Linked DNA regions of Caenorhabditis elegans. The protein of the gene in region 1 interacts with the protein of each later gene in a pairwise test. Each region holds a gene or a part of one and is shown in the gene's direction. Other genes may lie near its edges. The genes, in order: F25H2.4 and emc-2.

Region 1 (3,634 bases):
GAGCTCTGAATTTCGGCAAATCTGAAAATTTTTTTTGATGACCAAAAACAGAATTTTGCAAACAAAAATTGATTTTAGAGCAATTTATTGCATAAATATTCAATTTTAGAATTTTTGCTAATAGTTTGAATCGTTTTAAAGAGTTTTAGTCATTAATTTGACTGATAACACAGAAAAATGATTTTTCTTTACAACGAAATCGATAAAAAAGGAAAGCAACATTTATCAAGGGAAATCTTGCAAAATTGGTTAAAAACCTTTTATGAAATCGAAGATTTCACTAGAATAAAGCTACAAATCGATCAAAATCACTAAAAATAAAATAGTTCTGATCAAATTTCAATGTCCCAATCTACCAATGGATCTATGCCACGCCAAATTTCTTATGTAAGTGTTGCTCTCCAATTTTCCTTAAAAAATGGCTCAAATACTCACATAAATGATCAAATTAACATTTATTACAAGTTTCGTGTTATATTTTCTTTTCCTTAATAAGGAACCATCAGATTCTTCCTACCCTCTGCAGCTCTAGATACCTCAACTTCGACAACTCCTATCTACTCGGAGAGGTGAGATACCAAAAAGTGATCAACTGAGACCTTGTAGAGCACATCAAAAACTATGATATTCAATTTAACCTACGTTTTTATCTTTCAAGATGGGGGAGTTAGACGTACATTTGTATTGCATACTTTTTGTTATTATACTGGCTGCTCTAACTCCCTCATCTTAAGAGATAAACACATGATTTTAATTAATTAGTATAGTTTTTGATATGTTCTGCAATTTCTTAGTTAATCACTTTTTGATATCTTGCCTCTCTGAGGAGATAGGAGTTGTCGAAGTTACAGTATTTATAGCTATGCGCATATGAAGAATCATATGGATTCTCATCATGCTATACTACTTATCATCTGCTTTTTGTGGGAAACAATGATTCAAAAATGTTTTTTCAAATGATCAAACAAGTTGTGATTTGATCTGAACATTTAGTGTTGGTTTAGTGAAGATCAGCTGCCAACTAAACAGTTTCCGTTGATTTGTGCATTTTTGAACAATTTCAAGACTTGAAACCGTGTTATTTCTATCAAGCTGACGTTTAAAAATTGGAATCAAACATATTAATGCTTGAAAAAATTTGTTTCGCGTAGAAATTTTGTCATAGAGTTAACTTGTTCTAGTCGGTTCGAAAATCAATGAAAAAGCAGCCAAATCTTGAATTTGTTCAATAAAATGTTTTTTAAAACTTTTTTAAAGCAATAATAATCCCAATATTTAATTATTTTTTCCAAATTTCATCTTGAAAACTCGAATAATCGCGAAATTTCGTCTGAAACTCATTTAATACCGTAAAAGTGTGCAAGCGCGCTCCGTTGGACTTTCCAATTCTCAATTTTCTTAACTCTCCCGATTTGAGGCGCTGTGCTCCACCAATCTTAACGAATTTTCAATCGAATTATTGAGCTCAAGAGCTCTCATCAGGAACTTCATAGATTTTATGTAATTTTTGATTTTCTGTTCCCTAATTTTATGATTATTATCCGAATTAAACTTTAAAAACATCAAAATCATTTGAAATTTCTTGTTTCCCTCCTTTTTTTTATTTGATAAATTTTCTGCGCAAGTGCGCTCCATTGAGAATACAAATGCTCTCTTTGGAATTAACGATTTTTAGTTTATATTTGTTGAGTGTTCGAGATTCTTTTATTGTTTTAATGGTTTGATTCCAGTTTAAAATGTTTCTTAATTTTATTTATTCCTAAAACAATCTATTCATGTAATATAACTCAATTTTAAAGACGATTTTCGAGAGAGAACAACGTTATAACTGTTTTTCTTAATTTATTTTCATTAAACCGCTGTATTCAACTTCTTTTATTGTTCAATACAATCCTGAATACCTAAAATTTGTTAGATGATTTCAAATAATAAACAAAATTCGCTAAAATTCAAGTAATTTGCAGATGAAGCATCAAGTCGAAACACAGGCTCTCCCCTACTCGACAATCATCCTTCACTGCCTGAAATACCCGGCAAAGGGTGTTTTTGGACTGCTGATTGGAAACAAGAAAGGAGACAAAGTCACGGTACAATTTTATTTGTTTAATTCATTAAATGCGAACATTTTAAATTAGTTGATCGTCATGTCGGTACGCTTATTTTCTCCAAAGACAGTCGTCTTTAATACCAATTATCGATATATTAGAATTGCTAAGCTGAAAGCAAGAAAAAATAATTACGCTCTCCACCTCAAAATGATGAACAGTTGCTGAAGAGAGCATAAAAAATACTTTTCTACGTTTTGAGAAGAGTTATGCGATACTAGATTTCTGAGTCAGGGAAATGTTTTAATTTAATGAATTTGCCATCCTATCTGATAATTTATTTTCCAGGTAACAAGTTGTGTTCCTCTTTGCCATGAATCCACTCCACTCGCACCTCCTCTGGAACTTGCCACAGCCCTCGTCCATGGAAAGTTTGGTGCCTCCCTCGTCGGCGTCTATTTCTCAAATGCAACTCCATCGGACACTTCTCTCAACGTTTATGCCACTCGACTCGCCGACAGAATATCTTCTGTTACCTCTTCGGCAGCGATTCTCGTACAAGTGATGAACGAAAGACTGGTGTCAGATTGTGAACAAGACCGCCTCGTGGCATATGAAAAAGATGGAGATAGTTGGAAAGAAACGAAGTAGGAAAAAACATTTGATGTTATATATTCATTTAGTATATTCATTTCAGAACGATTTTCCAAGGTTCCAACTTCTTGCGTGGCCTTCAAGCTGTTATTCAGAAGAAGTTGTACCGAGAGCTTTCCGATTTCGAAAACCATTTGGACAATCCCGAGTTCGACTTCTATAACACAAATCTGAGCAACAAACTCGTGCAAGTGGCGGAATTCAGAGCTTAAAAGCTGAAATTATTATCCTAATTCGTGTTTTCATAACTTATTGCAGTCATCTGAATATATTATATGTTTAATCCCCTTCCGTTTTCGGGTTGAATAAAAGATTTGATGACAGCTGAGTCGTGTAGGATTGGTTGCCATGAAAACGCATTAGAGAATGCGCAGGAATAGATGTCAACAAAAACGATGTTTTAGGTGGGAAGCAATACTTTATCAACATTCAGCAGAGATACGAAAACGGTGAAAACACCGGGAGACATAAGCAATCAGTTTATTCGTAGACCCATGAGTTGATGAATGGGCTGGCGTAGTCGTTGATCTCCTCCTGCTTGAACCAGTGAGCAATCTCGCGGTTGGCAGAGTCAACGGCATCGGATCCGTGGCAGATATTGCGTCCGGTTTGGATGCAGAAGTCTCCGCGGATGGTTCCTGGGGCGGAAGCGAGTGGGTTGGTAGCTCCGAGCATGGAACGTCCTTGCTTGACGACGTCAAGTCCTTGCCAGACCATGGCGACGACTGGTCCAGAGCTCATGTACTCGATGAGGGATGGGAAGAATGGTTTGTCCTTGAGGTCTTGGTAGTGAACCTAAAAATAATAATTTAACTGGTTGGGCCTAAAATTTTGTAATTTCGTGAAAACGTACCTCAAGATGGGCCTTGGAGGCGGTCATCTGCTTGAGAGCAACAAGCTTGTATCCGCGCTCTTCAAAACGAGCGATGATCTTT
Region 2 (6,252 bases), on another chromosome or scaffold:
TTTTTTTTTGAGAAATCTATGAAATTCGCGATTTTAATGCCATTTTCCCCTCGAAAAAAAAATCATTTTTATCCCAATTTTTTCAGGGTAACGTCTCCCTCTGGAAGCCATCGAACACCGCCGTGCTCTCCAATTATATAATCTACGAACTCCTCGAGGAAGCTGGTATGCCACCTGGAATTCTCTCATTCTTGCCATCAGATGGCCCCGTTTTCGGTGACGTCATCACCGCATCTCCACACTTGAGCGCTGTCAATTTCACTGGCTCCGTGCCAACTTTCAAGACGATTTGGAGAAAAGTCGCCGAGAATTTGGATAACTATGTGACTTTTCCGAAACTCATCGGAGAATGCGGCGGAAAAAACTTCCACTTTGTGCATCCATCCGCCCACGTGGACGCTGTCGCCGCTGGAACCGCCCGTTCCGCCTGGGAATATTCGGGACAAAAGTGCTCGGCGTGCTCCAGGATGTACGCGCCAAAATCGATTTGGCCAAAGATTCTCGAGAAAATCTCGGCGATTCACAAAGAGATCAAGCTTGGAGATGTAGGCCACTGTTTGGCTTGCCGATTTTTGTGTAGTTTGTAGTTTACAGGTTCGCGATGGATCCGTCTTTCTGTCGGCTGTGATCGATGATAAGGCGTTTGCCAGGCTCAAGGCCTACATTGACTTTGCGAAAACCGGAGCCGACGGAGCAAATGTGGTGCTCGGCGGAAAATGTGACGACAAAACGGGATACTTCATCGAGCCGACCCTGATCACTGTGACGGATCCGAAGAGCAAGCTTCTCACTGAGGAAATGTTCGGACCGGTGGTGACGGTACTGGTCTACGAGGATTCGAAGGTTGATGAGGTGCTCGCGACTGTGAAAGACGCGACACCTTATGGGCTGACTGGCGCCGTTTTTTCGCAGGATAAGGAGTTCCTTTATAGGTTGGCAACTACAAAAAATACAAGTTTTTGCACAGGTTTTCAGGGACTCAAAAATTTTATCTAAAAACCCAGCGGAAAGAAGAAAAACTCGAATTTTCGGGTTTGTTATGTTCAAAAATGCTGAAATTCAACATTTTAGGCACAAGAAAACTGCCAAAAGTCGATTTAAAATTATTCCCGGAAAATTCGAAATCTTGAAATTCTGTTTTTTCGGCAATTTTCAAGAAATTTCTCTATAACCGAACAAAATAGGTTAAAAAATGTCGAAAAACGATAATTACACAATTTCTCCAATAAAAACCCTCGAATTTCGTCACAAATCAAATGAAAAGCTAGAAAAACTGGCAAAAATCGAAAAAAAAAAGCGATAACAACAAACAAAAAATTTGAAAGCGACAGTAAGATGTTCCTGAGCGTGGCGAGACCCAACAGTGAAAGTGTGTGTCCCTTTAAAGGGCTACGGTATTTTTTATTGGAATTTTTGTTGGATTTCGATCGATTTTTCGAGATTTTTGAGGCGAATTTTTGTGTTAAAAACGTTTTTCAACAAAGTGTTTTTTTTTCTCAGAGCTCGCGATGTTCTCCGCGACGCCGTCGGCAACATGTACCTCAACGACAAATCAACTGGATCAATCGTCGGCCAGCAGCCATTCGGAGGCTCCAGATTGTCCGGAACCAATGATAAGGCCGGTGGCCCCCACTATGGGCTCCGATGGACCTCGCCGCTGACGATTAAGGAGACGTCGGTGTCATTGACTGACTGGAAATATCCATCAATGGAATAATTATGTTGTTTTTTTCTTTTCATTTCCGATTTTTCTCATATTGAGAATATAGTTTTCTTTTTGATTAGGTCAACAATTATTGCTTTACCACTGAATTTTAATTTTTTTTCCCCCGTGATCGCATAATAAATTTTGTTTTTTTTCCTTTTTTCCAGCTATAACCGTTTATTTTATAGTTTTCTCGCTATTTTTATACCTTCCAACCGAACTTTTCCATTAAAAAGTTGGAAAAAATCAATATTTTTCAGAAATTTCCCTCCCGAAAATGGTTGAAACCGAGTGGACGCAAGTCTCTTACGATGGTAACATTCTACAATATTCAAATTTTGAAAAAAAAATCGATAAATGCTTGCAGAAGGACGTCAAGCGCTGAAAAAGTGGCGAGAATGCGGAGTTCGACGAAGTGATGAGGTCGTCGAAATTTGGGAGCACGTTATTTCACGCTCACCGGCTTCTCTTGGAGACGAGCAATGGGCTGTGTTGGAGCAGGTGCTGAAATTTTGTCGAAAAACGCTGAAAATCCTGAAAATCTGGCTTTGAATAGAAAAAAACCATAGATTTTCTGGTTTTTTTGGTGAAAAGCATATTGGTCTGCTAGACTACAAACTACAGTATTATATTTAGCAGACCCACGCTTTTTTCTAAGTTATCACGTTTCTGGTTGATTAATAGTGAAAATAATACAAATTTCGGCGAAAAACTGGAAAAAATCAATAAAAACGGTCATTTTTTACTGAAAAAATGATTATTTTCGAGAAAAAATTCAATAATTTGGGTCTGCTAGACTACAAACTACAAATTCATATTTAGCAGACCCAAGTGGTTTCGATGAAATTTGGTCTGCTAGGCTACAAACTACAAATTCATATTTAGCAGACCAATGTAGTTTTGAGGAGATTTGGTCTGCTAGACTACAAACTACAAGCTTCGATTTAGCATACCCATACTCATTTTTCACGAGAAAATCGAATTTTCACCTAATTTTTCCAATTTTTTTCAGGTGTGCATCGCAGCACTCGACGCGGCTCGTGTCGATCTGGCTCAGGATTGCATTGACCAACTTCACGCACAATTTCCGAAGAGTAATCGAGTTTTGAAGCTGAAAGCGATGCAGTTGGAATCTACGGAACATTATCAGAAGGCGTTGGATATTTATGAGCGACTGGTTGAGGATGAGCCCAATAATAATGTAAAAAATTCAGGAAATTTTTTTTTTGCAAAATTTCTAATAATTTGAATTTTCAGAGCTTCCGCAAGCGAAAAGTCGCGGTTCTTCTCGCTCAGGGAAAGCGTCTCGACGCAATTCGAGCTATCAACGATTACCTGAAGGTTTTCATTTGATTTCTAGAAAAAAAAAACTCTAAAATTTATTAATTTTCAGATTTTCCTGAACGACCCAGAAGCTTGGCTTCAGCTCAGCGAGCTTTTCCTGCTCGAAAATGACGTGGCAAAGGCGGTACATTGCCTGGAGGAGTGTGTGCTCATTTCGCCGCTGAATTCCATGTATTTCAGACGATTAGCCGATTTGAGATATACTCAAGTATGTGTGTGGAAAATTGGAGAAATTTGGGCCTGCTGGGGGCTACAAACTACAATTCATATTTAGCAGACCCAAATACATTTTCAATGGAAATTGGTTTTTTCTCGTTTTTCTACTTTTTTTTTTGAAGAAAAAAAATCGAAAATTGTCAGTTTTCCGTCAAAAAAATGTCAGAAAAACAAATTTTCAACGAAAATATATTATTTTAATGCAAAAAATGAAGAAATTTTTAAAAAATATAGAGAAATTACCGAAAATGATTGAAAATTGATTTTTTTTAAGGAAAACTAAAAAAAATTGAACGGTCTGCTACAATGCAAACTACAAAGTACAATGTTCGATTTAGCAGACCCAAGTGATTTTGAAAAAATTGGTCTGCTGGACTACAAACTACAAGTTTCGATTTAGCAGACCCAAGTGATTTCAATTCGAAATTGGTCTGCTAGACTACAAACTACAATGTTCGATTTAGCAGACCCAAGTGATTTTGAAAAAAATTGGTCTGCTAGACTAAAAACTACAATGTTCGATTTAGCAGACCCAAGTGATTTTGAAAAAAATTGGTCTGCTAGACTACAAACTACAATGTTCGATTTAGCAGACCCAAGTGATTTTGAAAAACTTGGTCTGCTGGACTACAAACTACAAGTTTCGATTTAGCAGACCCAAGTGATTTTGAAAAAATTGGTCTGCTGGACTACAAACTACATATTCATATTTGGCAGACCCAAGTGATTTTGAAAAAAATTGGTCTGCTAGACTACAAACTACAATGTTCGATTTAGCAGACCCAAGTGATTTTGAAAAACTTGGTCTGCTGGACTACAAACTACAAATTTCGATTTAGCAGACCCATGTGATTTTGAAGAAATTCGGTCTGCTAGACTACAAACTACATATTCATATTTGGCAGACCCAAGTGATTTTGAAAAAAATTGGTCTGCTAGACTACAAACTACAATGTTCGATTTAGCAGACCCAAGTGATTTCAATTCGAAATTGGTCTGCTAGACTAAAAACTACAATGTTCGATTTAGCAGACCCAAGTGATTTTGAAAAAAATTGGTCTGCTAGACTACAAACTACAATGTTCGATTTAGCAGACCCAAGTGATTTCAATTCGAAATTGGTCTGCTAGACTAAAAACTACAATGTTCGATTTAGCAGACCCAAGTGATTTTGAAAAAAATTGGTCTGCTAGACTACAAACTACAATGTTCGATTTAGCAGACCCAAGTGATTTCAATTCGAAATTGGTCTGCTAGACTAAAAACTACAATGTTCGATTTAGCAGACCCAAGTGATTTTGAAAAAAATTGGTCTGCTAAACTACAAACTACAATGTTCGATTTAGCAGACCCAAGTGATTTCAATTCGAAATTGGTCTGCTAGACTAAAAACTACAATGTTCGATTTAGCAGACCCAAGTGATTTTGAAAAAAATTGGTCTGCTAGACTACAAACTACAATGTTCGATTTAGCAGACCCAAGTGATTTCAATTCGAAATTGGTCTGCTAGACTAAAAACTACAATGTTCGATTTAGCAGACCCAAGTGATTTTGAAAAACTTGGTCTGCTGGACTACAAACTACAAATTTCGATTTAGCAGACCCATGTGATTTTGAAAAAATTGGTCTGCTGGACTACAAACTACATATTCATATTTGGCAGACCCAAACTATATTTTTTGCAGGGAGGCGCCGAAAACGTGGAATTGGCTCGTTCCTACTACGAACGTGCGCTCAAAATCAACCCAACCGATTTGAGATCTCAATACGGAATTCTATTGGTAAGTGTAGTTTGTAGTTTGTAGTTTGTAGTTTGTAGTCTATATTAATGTTTCAGAGCAACAATTTGATCGCGGCGACCACCAAAAATGCGACGGAAAAGAAGAAAGCCGGAGCTGCAGCAGTTGATGCAATCGATAATTTGGTTAATCGTTATCAGAAGGTAGATTTTGATAAAATTAATAGTTTTTAATTGGAAAAAGCTCTAAAAACTCCAAAAAATGCCGAATTTCGGCTGTTTTTTCTTGAATTTTTTGAAAAAAAAATTCGAAAAAAATCGTGATTTTTCTAAAAATAACCTTAAAAAATTCCAGATAAGTCCAAAAAGCAATCCAGAATCGGACGGAATTCTCAATTGCCTCGAAGCCATGAAAGTCACTGTTGGAAGCAAATAAATTGTCAATTTCCTCCCAAAAAATGATATGCTTTACGTACATTCCCCCGAATATTCGATTATTTCCTATTTATTTTCTGTTAAAATTCAATTTTTTTAATGTCTATCGAAAGTATATTTATCGAAAAAAAGAACTCCTCAAGAATAAATAAATGTGATGATTTTTGCCACCGTTTTTGCTCCATTTTAGAGTCTTGGGTCTGCTAAATAGCTTTTTGTAGTTTGTAGTCTGGCAGACCAATTTTTGATAGCAATTTTTAGACTAAAAACTACTTTTTTCTTGAAAATCTTGAATTTTTGCGTTATTTCACATCTATTCCGGTTTTTCCGGCTCCTTTTTGGCGCTGAAATCGATAAGTTGGGTTACTGTAGCCTCAGAAGTACGCAAACACCATGCGACTCACGCAAAAATGCACAGAAACCTGAAAGATGCGCGAAAAAAGCCATACATGGGTAAAAATTTGTGTAGAATTCAATTTTTGTGTCAGAATCGTTTAAAAAATCAGTGAAAAATGATAATTTTCAGAAATGTTGAGCCAAAAAAAAATTATTGATTTTTGTGCATTATCAGTTTTAAATTTGGATTTTTATGTTTTTTCACCCATACGAGACTTTTTCGACTCCATTCGAGTTGTAATAAAAATTTCCGGGTTACTGTAGCCTCAAAAGTACGCAAACATGGAACACTTTACGCAAAAGTGCAGAGAATTCTAAAATTTGCGGAAAAAAGCTGCATAAGGGTAAAAATGTGTGTAGAATTCAATTTTTGATATCAGAATCGATAATAATCAGCGGAAAGTACACAATTTTCGT

Evidence for each region.
Region 2: the proteins of F25H2.4 (region 1) and emc-2 interact in a two-hybrid assay, tested with the Caenorhabditis elegans proteins (3 studies listed by BioGRID).

What each region holds. Positions count from the first base shown.
Region 1 is NC_003279.8:10,550,015-10,553,648, forward strand, and holds F25H2.4 (MPN domain-containing protein), read left to right. Parts: upstream 1-1,957; 5' UTR 1,958-1,964; coding exon 1,965-2,087; intron 2,088-2,393; coding exon 2,394-2,692; intron 2,693-2,742; coding exon 2,743-2,911; 3' UTR 2,912-3,033; downstream 3,034-3,634. Other genes in the region: ndk-1 (Nucleoside diphosphate kinase), read right to left, coding at 3,180-3,494, 3,553-3,634.
Region 2 is NC_003280.10:1,301,850-1,308,101, reverse strand, and holds emc-2 (ER membrane protein complex subunit 2), read left to right. Parts: upstream 1-1,965; 5' UTR 1,966-1,982; coding exon 1,983-2,019; intron 2,020-2,072; coding exon 2,073-2,206; intron 2,207-2,550; exon of another isoform or gene 2,551-2,601; intron 2,602-2,717; coding exon 2,718-2,906; intron 2,907-2,962; coding exon 2,963-3,046; intron 3,047-3,098; coding exon 3,099-3,257; intron 3,258-4,951; coding exon 4,952-5,047; intron 5,048-5,103; coding exon 5,104-5,208; intron 5,209-5,359; coding exon 5,360-5,440; 3' UTR 5,441-5,603; downstream 5,604-6,252. Other genes in the region: alh-6 (L-glutamate gamma-semialdehyde dehydrogenase), read left to right, coding at 87-545, 595-932, 1,501-1,717.